2 linked regions of the Lepisosteus oculatus genome follow. The protein of the gene in region 2 interacts with the protein of the main gene of each other region in a biochemical or structural test. Links are inferred from orthologs where the notes say so. Each region holds a gene or a part of one and is shown on either strand. Other genes may lie near its edges.

Evidence for each region. The genes of interacting proteins can lie anywhere in the genome.
Region 1: the proteins of gnao1a (region 2) and rgs4 form a complex in vitro, tested with the Homo sapiens proteins (2 studies listed by BioGRID). The link is inferred for Lepisosteus oculatus from reciprocal best matches to the Homo sapiens genes GNAO1 and RGS4.

What each region holds. Positions count from the first base shown.
Region 1 is NC_090704.1:13,187,941-13,195,241, reverse strand, and holds the start of rgs4 (regulator of G-protein signaling 4), read left to right. Parts: upstream 1-4,280; 5' UTR 4,281-4,382; coding exon 4,383-4,426; intron 4,427-5,202; coding exon 5,203-5,310; intron 5,311-5,906; coding exon 5,907-5,968; intron 5,969-7,301. Other genes in the region: histone H4, read left to right, coding at 8-319. UniProt on the Homo sapiens protein: Inhibits signal transduction by increasing the GTPase activity of G protein alpha subunits thereby driving them into their inactive GDP-bound form. Activity on G(z)-alpha is inhibited by phosphorylation of the G-protein.
Region 2 is NC_090715.1:1,057,408-1,065,087, reverse strand, and holds the start of gnao1a (guanine nucleotide binding protein (G protein), alpha activating activity polypeptide O, a), read left to right. Parts: upstream 1-4,673; 5' UTR 4,674-5,241; coding exon 5,242-5,359; intron 5,360-5,541; coding exon 5,542-5,584; intron 5,585-7,680. UniProt on the Homo sapiens protein: Guanine nucleotide-binding proteins (G proteins) function as transducers downstream of G protein-coupled receptors (GPCRs) in numerous signaling cascades.

The DNA.
Region 1 (7,301 bases), on a different chromosome or scaffold from region 2:
CTTGAAGATGGCTGGAAGAGGCAAAGGCGGAAAGGGACTCGGGAAAGGAGGCGCTAAGCGTCACCGCAAGGTTCTCCGAGACAACATCCAGGGAATCACCAAGCCCGCCATTCGCCGCCTGGCTCACAGTGGTGGAGTGAAGCGGATCTCCAGGCTTATCTACGAGGAGACCTGTGGGGTGCTGAAAGTGTTCCTGGAGAACGTTATCCGCGACGCCGTCACCTACACCGAGCATGCCAAGAGGAAGACCATCACTGCCATGGACGTGGTGTATGCGCTGAAGCGCCAGGGCCGCACCCTGTACGGCTTCGGAGGCTAAACAGGAGCGGAGCTTCACTGCCGGACCAGACCCCGACGTATAAACCCAAAACTTGACTTCTTCAAGTTACCAGTTGTGGACACGACACGGTATAATTTCTCTTAACCTCATGAAAACGTTTGTGCTACAAACTTTGTGCACCACAAAATCTTAAATGCTTGTAATGGTGAAATGAAAAATTAAGCTCATATTTGCTTCTGTTAGCCAGTAAAAAACCTGCAATTTCTATAACTGGAATCTTCAAGTCCACTATTTACAATAATATAATAAAGAACAATAATAAGGACCCATTGTTAAATCCATTTAAAAAAAAAGCACAGTACACCCTTCGTTAACGCTGTTTATGCTGTTTATTATACGTTTACGCTGTTTATTATTATAACACTGTTAATTAGAAGAGCTTGGATTCAAAATGTGAATTTATTAGTTTCTAAGAAGAACATTTTAATTGTTATCCCGGGTTTCATCAGTGCCCTTGCAGTATAAAAACTCAATATGCTGTCTGCTGCAGCAAATAATGTGGAAATATCCAAAGCCAAGGGAGGTCATTACGTTTCCTGGCTAATACAGACAAGTGCTGTGATTCAGCATTTAAAGTATATGCTACTAACGTGCCTGTTAATACCTTGTAATGAATCAAAACAACACAGTGGAACATTGGAACTTCAGAAACAAAAGCAAAATCTGGTCACAGCTGCTGCTTGTTAGTAATTCAGGTTTTCTATTTGTCATGTCCCGGGTTGAAAATGTTCCCTAAGGAAATGCTTGTTGATCCTCATTTAGTGTGCTGATCAGTACCCACTGCTGAGTCACTAGTGGATATCTAGGCCACACTTTGTTTCACACAATTCAACTTGTTTATTTATCAAATTGAAGTTCAATTCCATTGAACTATAAAATATCAGAAATTAAAATATGCTCATTAGCTGTAAAAACTCAATTGTATAAGTCAGTCTGATTAATATGTTGCAAACTTTAAATACTTTTATTATGTTTTGCATATTTACAATAAATAAAACAAAATAGTTGTCTCATGCATAAAGATTAAATGCATTTAAAAAAGAATGAGATATATGTAGATATTTACTAATTATTAGTAATGCTCTAATACACTTCTACGTATATCAGTGTTGTTATACACAAGACTTTACTTTCTCTTAGCAAAAAGGATGGGCAATTTCCCTAATTAAATTCCTGTAGTACCGAGTGGACAATTTGTCTATTGTTTTTCCTACAGGAGAACAGCCTATTGATTTTTACTGGTTTTAGCATGAATTTTGGATTTGATATATGCTTCTTGATTTGATTTTTGCATCAATTTACATAACCGATCCACTCTGTCTGTCATGCCCTCTACTCAGCACATTCTCGCAAACGCAGCCGCACTAATTACACTCCAGCCCTGGGCACTTCTGCCAAACGACACCGCCCCTGCAAATCGGCCAACCACGACACTTCTTCAATCAACGCACCTTCTTCCTTGCACAGTACTTAAACGTACTCTGAACCCTCTGATCTTAGCCTGGTATTGGTTGTTCTTTTGTATACCTAACTTGCCTCAGTTTTTGTTTCCTTCTTGCTCTTTGTTACCTAGCTTGGCTTTGGCTCACCTTTGGCTACGTCTACTGTCTTGTCCCTTTGGATTTGGAAGCCTTCTTGATTGACCTTCACCTTTTGATCACGGAACTGCCTTTTCGACTACGACGTCACCCTTGCCCTCTTTTGGATTGGAAACCTACTCTGCTACCTTTTTCTACGAACTTCGGCTCTCGACTCGGACTTAGTCTCTCGCCTAGTCCCTTAGGTACTGCATAGGATTCATCCTCCCATTTCTTCAGTGGGTCATTCGTGACTGTCATACTTATTAGTGTGCATGAAATAAACTGTTAGAATCTAGGAAATGAAGCAGCTACTGAGCTCCAAGATAATTGGATAATATGGACAGGTCAGGCTTTTTCAACATGCTCTCAATTAAAAAAAAATAATAATTCTACCACACTTCGATAGCTGTCTGATTTTGTCATTTAATATCTTCTCAGATATTTGTAATTGGTAGATCTGTACTCAATTATGTTGTTCTATCACAGCCTATGCAGAAATACCTTAGCTCAATTCACCTAGTGGGAAGATTCCAGTTGTCTTGTCAGACAACAGCCAGACTCTTGTTTCCTCACCCAGGTATCTCAATACCACTCAGCACTAGAGAGTTAGTCTGATTCTATTAAAGTTCTGATGGCCAGAGTTGATGTCAGCCAATGGGTCAAAGAAATTAATAAGAAATTCTCACAATCTGTGCTCATTGTTATGATTTATGAGACTGTGGCTGAGGATAAAGGAATTTTACCTGTCTCAGAACAATTTTGAATTATGAAGCCATTTGGCATTCTAGTTGAGCTCACTAGTTAATATATTTCCAGTGTCTTTATTCTTCTAAAAATGGCCTTCTTTATTCTTCATGGCCAGACTTTGCAGTATCTTCTAAGACAATACTTAATCCTAACACAAAACATTTAGATCAACTGCAATCCCAGTACTTGTCACAAAAGGTCAAAATTGATCCCATGATATTGTTACATCAAACAGCTGTATTTCATGAAAGGGATATCTAAGCAGAGCTGACCTATATTATTTGTAATGTTATTCTCTGTAGGTTAAATGTACAGTATGTGTGTTGGAAAAAGTACACTATTAGAGCACTATCACAAATATGTGGTAGACTACCCTATTCTTTGCTCATTTTATAACTCAGTGGAAATCTTAGTTTAAGAACATGAACAAAACAGGAACACAGGGAGTAATTTTAAGCAAATACTGATGTGACATGCTGCTTCTGTTTGACCCATGTTTTCATCAAATGACAGATGCTTGTAAATTAATTTAATTTCAGAACAAAAATTCAAATTGACCATCTAATGAACAAATAAGTACAAATTTGATTTATAGTCCAATGGAAATGGTTGATAAGTAATTGTGTAAACAATTAATACTGCATATTATTTTCTAGTGAAATATCAGAGACTGTACTACACATAAAATAAAAAAACAAGATACTACAAGATGTGATCTGATTTAATACTGAATTGATGTTGTTTAACTAAAAAAGTAAGTCGCTTAAGATTTGAAAAAAATATTTTTTTCTGAAGAGTTATCACCTACAACAGGCATACCTGACTTCTATTTTTTCAAATAAATCTGTTCATTTTCCAACCACTTTACCCAGTACAGGGTTGTAGGAGAGCTGCAGCATAACCGGGCAAGCAATGAGTGCAAACCTGGATATAGCCTGGATTACATTTCAGTCTGTTGTAGGGCACACACAGACACTAACAGGCACACTCACCACAGGGCCAGTTTTACAGAAATCAATTAAATTACTAGCATGGCTTTGGATTCTGAAAGGAAACTGGAGCACCTTGAGAAAACGTTTGCAAATATGTGGAAAATATAAATTCTATGCATGTAGTTATCAACGGTATGTAAGGCTATGTGCATGGAGTGAAAACTAATTTTAAGGGTGCCTTAAAAATAAAAAAAAAGTTGCCATAATGGTATTATTCTAACTAAAATGGTCATGTAAAACAATAAATAAGGTTTAGTTGGGCTTAACTGCTAGCTTCGTGAACAGGGCACTACCTTCTTTCTGTCATCTTTAGGCTGTTAACTTTTTATCGATCCTTTGGGAACAATTTTCCTCTTTAGCTTCTGGTTTCACTAGTTGTCACAGAAAAAAAAATACAACAGATCAAACAGATTGTCCTGTTGTCATCTATGGTGTATGGTCTAAACACAAGACAGCTGTGCTTTGTTAAGTTGGGTATATTATTTTATTTCATTTTTTCTATCCTTTGCAGTCTTCCCAACTGCAGGCAGCAGACAGCTGTTTAAAGAGAACACTGATGATTGGCTGGCCATCTGACCCCAGAGACTACAGAGCTATAAAACCTAAACTGGCAGAGGGAAGTGCAGTTAAGCATTGAGAGACACCCTGCTCAGCAGTACGCAAGAGAAGGCAAAGATTAACGTTCATTCCTCTTTTCTGCTGGAATTGTAACCCAAAGTCAAAATGTGCAAGGGACTTGCAGCGCTTCCTGCAACATGTTTGAAAAGGTATGAAAATTTAATTGTCATAAAATACGTTTTTTTTAGCTAGCATCTCTAATGGAATTGAATACCATTGATACAATTTAGACTGTAAAATATATTTTTCAAACATTGTCATTCTGAGTTTACAGTACTATATGTGAAAAAAAGTACTGAACAATTTATTGTACTTTAAAGAAGTATTTTCTCCTTGAAATACTTGTGAAATTGAAAATAACTGTACCTCATTTAAGAGACTGATGATGAGAGGTAAGCTAATTATGAATATTTGTGTAAGAACTTAACAACTTTAAAATGCTTTGTTTTATTTAAAGAACACATACATGTTGCAACCTTTTGAAAAGATCTGCCATTATGCATTAACCCTGTAGATTGCTGTGGTGTTCAATGGAATATTGATTTAATGATTTAGAGTTAAGAACACTGTTTAAATGTTTTGCATGCTGTTATCTGAAATTGGTTGTCTTTGTACTGACCAAGTTTATGAATATATAAGCAGAGATAGAAAACAAAAATTAAATGTACCTCATTGTTCTGAAAGTTAATATTCCATACTCAAAAAAGAACAAAATACTGCAATGCAGTATAGTGTGATTAAATCTGAATACAAATATAAGTACAGATTTGAAGAAATGGTTCTCAATTGTGAATAAATGCCATGCTTTCTTGATTTTAACTTAGTAGTAGTACCTTTCACATTATATAATATATATATAATTTTCACATCTCCATGTGAAACCTTGGATGTGTTTTCAGGCATTATATCATTTTTTTTTCTCCAGTGCAAAAGATATGAAGCATCGTTTCGGATTTCTTCTTCAGAAGCCCGACTTGATGCCTGATCAGAATAATGCTAACCACAAAAAGGAGAAATCCTTTGGACCAAAGAAGTGAGTATATTAAAAAATCCAGTAAACGAAAAAAGGAGCACAATCCATTATCATAAAAGAAAAAAAACATTCATTGTAGTTCTCCTGAGGTGCAATAAACCTCCTTAAGACAGATGGTTTCATAGCACAAACAATATACATTATATATAATAAAATTTCCCTGCTCTTCTTCCTGCCTTCCTGTCCCTACACGTTTTATTAATACCTTGCAAGTGGCAGGTTGTATCACTGGTGTTATCTGCAATACATTTTATAGGAACCAGAAAAGCAACATAAATACTGTACAACTCCGCATTGAAATTTCAATGAGATAAATAGCAGTTAAAAACATAAATTGAATACAGAAAATTTTAGTCAATATGTATGCCACTATGTAACTATGTAAGGACCATAAAGATATGATTACTCTTATCGATTTAAGGTACATTAAAACACAATGATGTTTTACACTATAATTTTTCAATTCCTTCAGGATCAAAATTCTAAATATTGTTAGGAAGATCAGGTACAACATTAGAGACAGTATATCAGATTTAGGTAATTGGGTGAAAAGTAGATGGAATACTTATAAACACAATATTGAACATCTTTTACAGAATCTGTCCAGGGGATGCCAAGAAATGGGGAGAATCCTTAGAATCTTTAGTGAATAATGAAGGTGAGTAGTTTGAACAAAGTGAAAAGAAGAGTAATTCAGACTGTATCCATTTATCCACTGTATAGTCTGATGGCAGCGTTATTACCTCCTGGCCTGATCTTGTCAGCTCTTAGAAGCTTTACAAGGATGGAGTGGGATACTTCAAACTGATGTCACTGGACTTGTAGGTGGCAACTTTGCTGCCCGATAAATTGTCCAAACCAATGACAGGGACACAGTAGTAGGTAATATTCATTGGATATGGCCTTACAACAAGGTCCTGGCTACTTAGACATTGAAGATTAGAAGATTTAATACCAGAGTAGAGGTGTTAGACCCAGTGTCCTGGCTAAATTCCACTTTTGGCTTGCACAATTAGGCCTACCTAATTAATACAATAATACCTAAGATTAATACAATCTCTAAAACAATTTTTCACTCCTTCTTCTGATCTGCTGTGTGGGTTTGCTGGTACACAGTGACAGCCAAACCTCCGACAGGGGGATGTGGCACTTCAGTGGTAGATGAGGATGAGGATGGAAAATGGTTAATAAATGTAAGGGACTCTTATGATAATGATAAAAACTGAAATCATAGGTCTCTATTGCTACTTTCTCATTTTTTACTACTTTTATCCATATAGTGCACTGCATTTAGCACTACATTTGCTTAAAAATCGAATTGTTTATTATTGTAAAATGACAAACTCTTCATTCTACCCAGACAGTGTGTTATCTATTTATGCAGTAAGAGTGCCTAAACCTGTAAGAGTATAAGTTACTTATAAGTGTATAAGTGAGGTATGAAGCTATCAGCTTTGATACAACAGGAAAAGAACCCCCATCTATATTATTATTATTGCAGCTTAAGGTCTTACCTTTCCCACCTGCCTGGTTTTAGTGCAAAATGAATAAGAAATCTACCATTGTAAATGTGGCATGTTAATTCTGCTTTAATTTTTGCATAACAGAATGCAAATTCTTAGATATTATCCTATTTTCCATGATTGAAGTCTCAGCATAATATATATTATATACTGGCTCATGTTTTGAATTTTGAATCTCTTTTAGCCTATTAGGCATATAAAATGCACATTAAAAAAAATGTATTGTCCATATAACATGGTAAGAGCAAGAGAGTGACCTGATCGAGCATGACTGTGGACCTAATAAAGCTGTGGCATAGCAGGACTCTTAATATTTCCTCTGTGATATTCTTAATTTAGGGTAATGACTGTAATGTCTGCGTGTTAGGATATCAAGGCAATATTATAAATCAATTTCCTGTAGCTCATTTCTCACTGTGGATCCTCTTAACTAAGTACTGTATGTGCTCAGTTCTCATGGTTTCAACG
Region 2 (7,680 bases):
TCTGCTCAGGAAAACCTGCTATGGACTGTGTTAGCATCCTGTGTGCTTGACCTGCTCTGAGAGGATGTGTGGTGAGTGAGTGTTTCTCCCCCCAGTTCCTTCAGTTCCTACTGACACACACAAGCAAGAGGGCAGGGAGAAGCTTGAAAGAAGCCAGGGGTGGAGCAGTTTAACCAATATCTGTGGAAGGTTCGAAACTGAATCTGTCTGCTTTGCTTAAACATTAAACTGTGGTGCTTCACCTACAGCCTAAGTCTTGTCTGCGGTGGCCTGAGCCCTGCAGGGCTCAGGGGGGTGTCACCTGTCTCACAAGCACAAAATAAACTCACTCACCTCTCTGAGGCCATCCCAAATTCTCTCCCGTCTCACCGCCATAGAGAGTGCAGAGAACTGAGGGTCGTTGGGTGTCTCCCACATGTGACTGCAGACACTGGTGCTGAGCATTTGTGCCCTGCTGTCTCTGTGGATCCTACGCACACTGTGCAGAGACAGAAGGCTGGAAAACTCAAGCTCCTTGCACTGGAGTGTGACAAACTTGAACAGTATTGCTGCTGTTTCTGAATCATCGCGCGGAGGTCCCTGGAGCATCCGGAAATAAAACTATGAAAGCTTTTCCTTAGAAGAGCTTTCAAATTATTGTGTAGGATATTTATTTTGGAATATTTCAAGAAACAAAATCAGTAAAAGACGTCTGAATCTGGCACACACACACACACATCTATGCACTATATAGACACATATAGTACAGTATATACACACATAAGGAAATTTCAGAAAACCAGTGAAGTGTGAGAATTCCTCGTCTCAATGTTGACCCATTTCTGCACAGAGCTATCCCAGAGAGCTCTTGGATTGGTCAGTCTAGCTCGGTTTTACTGCAGAGACTTCTTAGGTGGCAACCCTGTGAGATGTCCACAGACAAAAACTGCATTAATGCAGTTTATTTGCAAACGTGGCAATTTATATTTAGGTGACTTACTAAGGAAACTGTTTTTTCATGAATGGCGGGGACTTGTTTCCCGGAGAATGAGGAGGATTTAGGATTTAGTGATGCCTTTCTGTGAACCACATTAATATCAGGTATTGTTTTCTTTAGTGAAAGCCGTGCAAATCAGTTTAATTCACCAAATTAAATTTTAGCTTTTTTTGGATTACAAAGCCTGGACTCTTGAACGCAGTGAGTCTTAGACTCTTTTTTTTTTTACTTAAGGTTTTTCTTATGGTAATTTACAGCTGATCACTCAACACGTTCATTCTTTTAAAGTTAGTCTTAACTAAAGTGTAGATCACCTCAAATGATCTGGGCCGAAGTGTTACAGTGTTGTAGCCAATGATATAATTAGACTAGCTGTGTAGCTGAGAGCTCTGGTGGGGTTTTATATCCTTTGCCTTTAGATGGGCTATGGAAACCCCAGACAGCTGAAAGGTGTTGCAGCTGAGGGATCCTGTGCTGTTGGTGACCAGAGCTACACTAATCTGTCTGTCCTGCTCATCACTGACATCCCTTGAATATACTCCAAGCACCAGGCAGCCTTGGAGACTAGCTTTTACCACTAAAAACAAGACGTGGCTCAAGTGCAAAGAACAGGTTTAATCAGTTTTATTAGAAATAGTAGGTATAGTGGTATTTTTAAGGTATTGTTAGATATAACAACAGTGCATTATTTGCTTCTTGTTAACTGCAGACTCTTTAAACATCAAGTCCATCCTGTTTTCAATTTATTCTACCATTCCTTGAAAGTAAAAATAAATGGCCTTTCTCTGATTTTTTCATGCGTTTTCATTTATTTTCACATGCCACTGTGGTATAGGCTTGGCAGCTGTCATTAAGAGAGCCCTACCCATATGGTTCATTACGGGTCTCTGCTTGGCCTACCACAGTGCCATTACCCAGCCTGCTCTGGGATGCCAGGGGAACTTCTCGGAGTGTGGTGCAATGACAAGAGTGAGGCCTGGGCACAGGGCATCACTTCCTTCTGCTTCCTTAACGTCTTGATCACACGTAGTCTGATATCCTGAATCTTTTCACTTGGGCTTGTAGGTAAGCCCAAGCTTATACAAAAATGCCAGATGCAGATATATGTGATATCCAGAAATTAAATGATTACCTTACCCAGGCACCTTGTGACTGCAAGGTGCTACATGAGCAAACTTACTTCTCCAACACCGATGATGGTGACAATAACAATGATAATAATAAGAAAGAGAAGTAGACAAAGCTTGTTTAAACAAATGCTAGCTGCTTGCTGTGAAGGTTAGAGAGCTTCATACTGGTTGGCCACAGGAAATCGAGGGCACTCGGGTCCCAGGCAGGCTGGCCGCCCTGCGAGGGGGTCAGATCGCGTGTGAGAGCCTGGGAGGGGCAGGAGGAAGAAAGATGGCCAGCTGGCAGGATTCGTGCCCTCTGGGAAAGCTAGGGAGGAGTCTGAAACCAGGCTTACTACTGGCATGTGCATTACAATGGTTTTTTTTCATGATTGTGCAATTAATCAATTAACCAATCACACACTCGGGCAGACAGAAGTAACACTGGGGCTAATAACTCCCTGGGTCTCCTCTCTCTTGTACAGACCAACAGTACACAGATCACATGTGGAATCTACTGGGTTCTGAATGATGACACAGCTTCAAACTACACAGGTAACCACTGCACAGACATTCATGGCTTGGGACACAGTTTTCAACAGTTTTTAGGTGCACTTTTAAGTTACTATTAGAGAAAGAGCTGTGACTTTCATGCAATTTACAGTGCTTGCAGCTTCATGTCCTAATACTATAGAGATGCTATTTTAAATGTACAAAGCCTGAACACCCTGATCTATAGACTACAGAATTCTCTCAGTTTAAATCCGGCAGCTCAGACACACAGGAGGCAATCAGGTCGAAGGAGAAAACATTTCAGTGTCGATCTGGTATCATCCTGAAAAAGAAAGACTCCCAGCAATAGGAGGTCATTAAACTGCTCCAGATGAATGAAGAAACGGATACAGTTTTCCCCCGCAGCCTGGACAGACAAGGGCTCCCTGGATTTTGATATGTCTGGTAATGCATACTGAACAAATCTGCTTAGGAAAGATCATGTATTACAGAGCAGATTCTGCAGCACAAAACATCTCCCAACAGCATATTTTTGAGCAGTTAAAAGGAAAATTCCTTGTGCTGTTTATTACAATATCACTTTTATGAATCAGAAGTAGAGTTCTTGTTTCACTTCAAACTTTGACAAGACAGATAATGGCTTTCAGAGTTGTGTGGGGACTGTTTTCATTAACAGGCAATTATAAAATAAATCAAACTCAATTAAGCTCATGCTGTGTTCATTTTGGTCTTACATATTGTAGGTAGTGCTTCTGATGCAGAGCAGTAAGCACGCATAGTATCTAGAAGTCCTGTCAGCAATAGCAGACTCTCCCACAGGTGTTAAGTTAATCAATCTGTCGTCTTCAGGGCATGAGGAGAGGAGCACCAGGTTTCTGGGACACAACGGATCATGTTTTAGAAACATATTGATTAGTTTTTGTCTGTGGATTTGTTGTGGTTGGGGACTAGTCTCGTGTGTCATGACCATGTAATGGGATTCGATTTGGGAGCTTTGGAAACGGAGAAAAACAAAGCAGGTCTTCCTGCATTTCTGTAAATGGTGGCTGTTAAGATGGCGAAGCTAACTAACGCCACTTCCTTCGCGCGCACAACCATCACTTTCTCTGGGAAAATGTTTCTACTGAACCGAATAGCACTTGTAGAAGGAGTCAGTCCAGAGCTCTAACCAGCATGCAAAGGTGCTCTACATCAGTTGTGTTCGTGTATGTAGGCAAGACTGCACGTACCATAGATTTACAACACGAATAGTCACATTTTATTGCCTGTCTTAAAAAAGTGCCACCTCCTCTCATTCAGAAACAAACGCTTTTGTATTTAAGGCCTAGCACTTGATCCCGGAGCCGCAGTAATCCTGTAGCTCCAGTGCGCGTGTTCGTTGTCGCAGCCAGGAGAGGTCAAAGTGCGCTTTCTGTCCTCGAGCAGAGCGATCGGATGAGCTTTGAGCTTTCAAAACTCACGTGATGCCACACAGTACAGTCATTTTCTTATGACTGGACGAAAGGTGCGCGTATCCCTTGATAACAAGTTATATTTCACTAGTAACAGACTTCTGCAGAATTTTACGGACCATTTCTGTAAAATAAACTTGATTTAGTGAGGGAGCAAACTCCCACAAGGCTGAGTTTCTAGAAAGGTATTACCGATGGACCTACGTGTAGATCAGGACTCGGGGGCGCAACACCCTTTCTCAACTTTTTTGTAAATTTCAGTTTACTCTTTGCACGACTGCACAGCACGACAATAACGCAGCCGAGAGTAAGGGATCTCTCTGCAATAGATTAGCTGGAGTTATAATTGACAATTCTTCTAAGCCTCAAAGCGGTTTTGCGATTCTCCCATGACTAAACAACTCGAAATAAAACAAAATAAAGAAATGATTTCAATAGTCGTCATGGTACGCTCTACAGAAGGGGGCTCTCTTTTAAATATCCCGTGTCAATAATCGAAGTCCTCCAGAGAGCTTCGCTAGACCACACCTCGGTGCGAATACGCCCGGCCTGCACAGACACCTTCCCGGACACAATAGAGCACAAAGCTCCAGTCTGCACCCCGCACACTCGGGACGTTTTCAGAGAACGACAGTGACAACGGCTACTCGCACAGGCGGGTCACTCGGGGGCGATCCCGCTCCTCAAAGCTCGTCCTTAAACAGGAGAAGCAGCGACAAAAGGGAGGGGAGAGGTCCTTCCCTCTGGATGGAGACGGTTAACGGTACTATCAGGATGCTCGCCGGAGCATGCTCGCTCGGTTTCTGACGTCAGTGAAATTGTCAGGGAGCACTGAGTCTGGCGCACTCTCCCTCCTGCCTCTCCATTGTGAACAGCTGAACGATGCGATCGCTCGCAGCCATCGCCGCCGCCCATTAGAGACCCCCAGCCCGAGCACCGAGCAGACGGACCCCCGAGAGAGAGAGAGTGAGCCCAGCCTTGTTCAGACCCGTGCCAACTGTAGTCGATCCGGTTTTTAATGCGTTAGTCGCCGAGAGACGGAGGGAGAGCGAGCGAGCGAGCGAGAGAGAGAGCGAGCGAGTGAGCGAGCGAGAAAGAGAGGGTACAGGGAAGAAACAGAAAAAAGGAGGATTGCTTGCTTTGATACCTTGCGTCTTTTTGGAAAGAAAAAGAGAGCCGAGATTTCCTAACCATGGGATGTACTCTGAGCGCCGAGGAAAGAGCCGCTTTGGAGAGGAGCAAAGCCATCGAGAAAAACCTGAAAGAAGACGGAATCACTGCCGCAAAAGATGTGAAATTACTCCTGCTAGGTAAGGCTGTGCTACGCTGACAAGCCCGGCTGTGGCCACTGTGGCTGTCGCCCATTCAGACCCTGCAGGCGAGAGAGAGCAGTCCCGGCGTTAGCGCGGCTGCTCGTCTGGCTCTAATCTCGTTTATCTCCTTACAACACAACACTGACGGCCCTTTTTATTCTGTGTTTTTATCCCAACAGGGGCAGGGGAATCAGGCAAAAGCACCATCGTGAAGCAGATGAAGTAAGTGGGCTGGTGTTCATGTCTTTTCGCCTTTAACACGGGCTGTGATTTTTTTTCCTCTCTTCGCCCCACCAATCGCCCCCCACCCCCCGACTCCCCTCCCCTCCCTGTCCATTCTCACCCTAGTCCGGTTGGCTAATACTTAGGTCCGCCATATTTTTCAAGGAATTATGATCGTTTTAGCACCGATCGAGCGCACCTAGCAACGCAGGCTTCGGAGACAAATTGGCAATGTGTGAGGCTTGGCCGTGAACGAATGCGTGTGCTGTTCACGGTAATGGTGCTGAAAAAGCAGAGAAAACCCTCGGTTTCGCGTGTGATCGCCGTGCGTGTGGAGCGGGAGGCGAGCGGTTGTAGCCCGCCGGAGAGCCATTAGGAGCGCACCTCTTCTCTCTTAAGCTTAATGCCTCGGTTTGAGCGCTCATCCCCCACCAGTTTCTGATCTCCTGACACGGGCTTGGAGAGTTCGCTCCCTCACATTCATTTAAAAAATCTGCCTATAATAAGGATTTAACTGGGGCAGAGATCTGCCATTTAAAGCCCCGTTTAGTGGAGATTTCAGGATTTCCCCCCCACGCCAGCTATTAAAACGGCCACGGGGGTGGTGGCAGCGCTTCCATTGTAAAAAGCAAATTGGAGTGTATTGTGTGTGTGGATCGCACACAAGCACACAGATACTGCGCGCAGACGAGAGTGTGAACTCGCGTGTGTGGAAGAACAGCACCCGAACCTGTCATCAGATACGGCCATTTTTTAATCTCACCCAGCCCAAGACAACCGAGTGCTCCTGCCTGCCTTCTAATTTCTCTTCTTCGTGTCTCATGTTGCGACCAGCAGGACAGCTCGGCTAGATTAGCCCATTTTTAGTGTAGTTCGCGCTAATAATAATAATAATAATAATAATAATAATAATAATAATAATAATAATACGTGGATGTATAATAAAGCACATACATCTGTTGTGTCTGAAGGGAACCGTATGTATGGCGCCTGATTAGAAACAAAGTGGGATTTTGGAAATAACGGTACTGTGTACTGAGCCTGCGGGTACTCGGCTGAAAACCGCCCCAGTGCCTTTGCCCGAGACGGGTTGAGTTCCCCTCTTCCCCTTTTGTGACATTCACATTTGTTCCTTGTAAATCGGTGGCTCAGTCTGCAGGTATGTACCTGTCGGTAGTAAAGCCAATTGTAAAAATAAGCCCGTATTGCAATGGCAGCAGGGCCCCTTCTGCGTTTGTGAGGGGAAGATCAGAGGATTTCAGGCGGTTGAGGTGGTGGACAGCGCCCAGCAGCGCCTGTTCGCTCAATCGTTGGAATTCGGAAACACTCGGGTGCTGTCGGGTATGGGTTCACCTACCGAGAAGGAGCGCTTGGAAAGGAGGGGGGATTCGGAGCGGATTTCTGCTGCATTCGGAGGCGTTCGGGCGTGTTCAGAGAGCCCGAGGTTGAGAGGGAAAGAGGAAAAGTCCGTAGAGTATTCTCTGCTTCGCCGGAGAACGGCAGTGGAGTGTGGATCGGGATTGTTAAAGCGAAATAAAAAACAAGATCCCATAGCAGGCAGTGTTGGGTTGTAGCGAAAGTGCTCAAGCAGTCTCCAGGCTTTATTAAGACAGGGAAAGGTAGGCTTTCAGGCGAGGTCTTGATATTACCAGTGCAATAACGTACCAACACTGTTAACTGTATGTAACAAAAACAAACCTGTTCGCCCGTCATTTATGAAATGACAACTTGTGACAATTAAATTTAATTCACAACCAGCCTCGGCAGATCTGCTTTTAAAACTCCTGCCTTGTGTTTGTAGATGAATGGGAGCGACAGTTAAAGACAACATTTGCATAGAAAGCGGCATTAAACCGTCGTTGTCCAAATTCTAGAGAATTGATCTCCCCCCGACATCTGTTTGGCTAAAATCAATGGATTGTGATTGTTTTTGTGTGGGAGCAAAAAAAAAACCCAACTGAAAGGGATAAGGGGTGTTGAAGCAGTTTCTGTATTGCTGGGGATAAGGGTGTGTTAACATCAAAGAATCTGGTCAGAGTCAGGAACTGAGCGAGTCCTGACAGTCAGTTGGGCTATGGTCAGTGGACCCATCCACT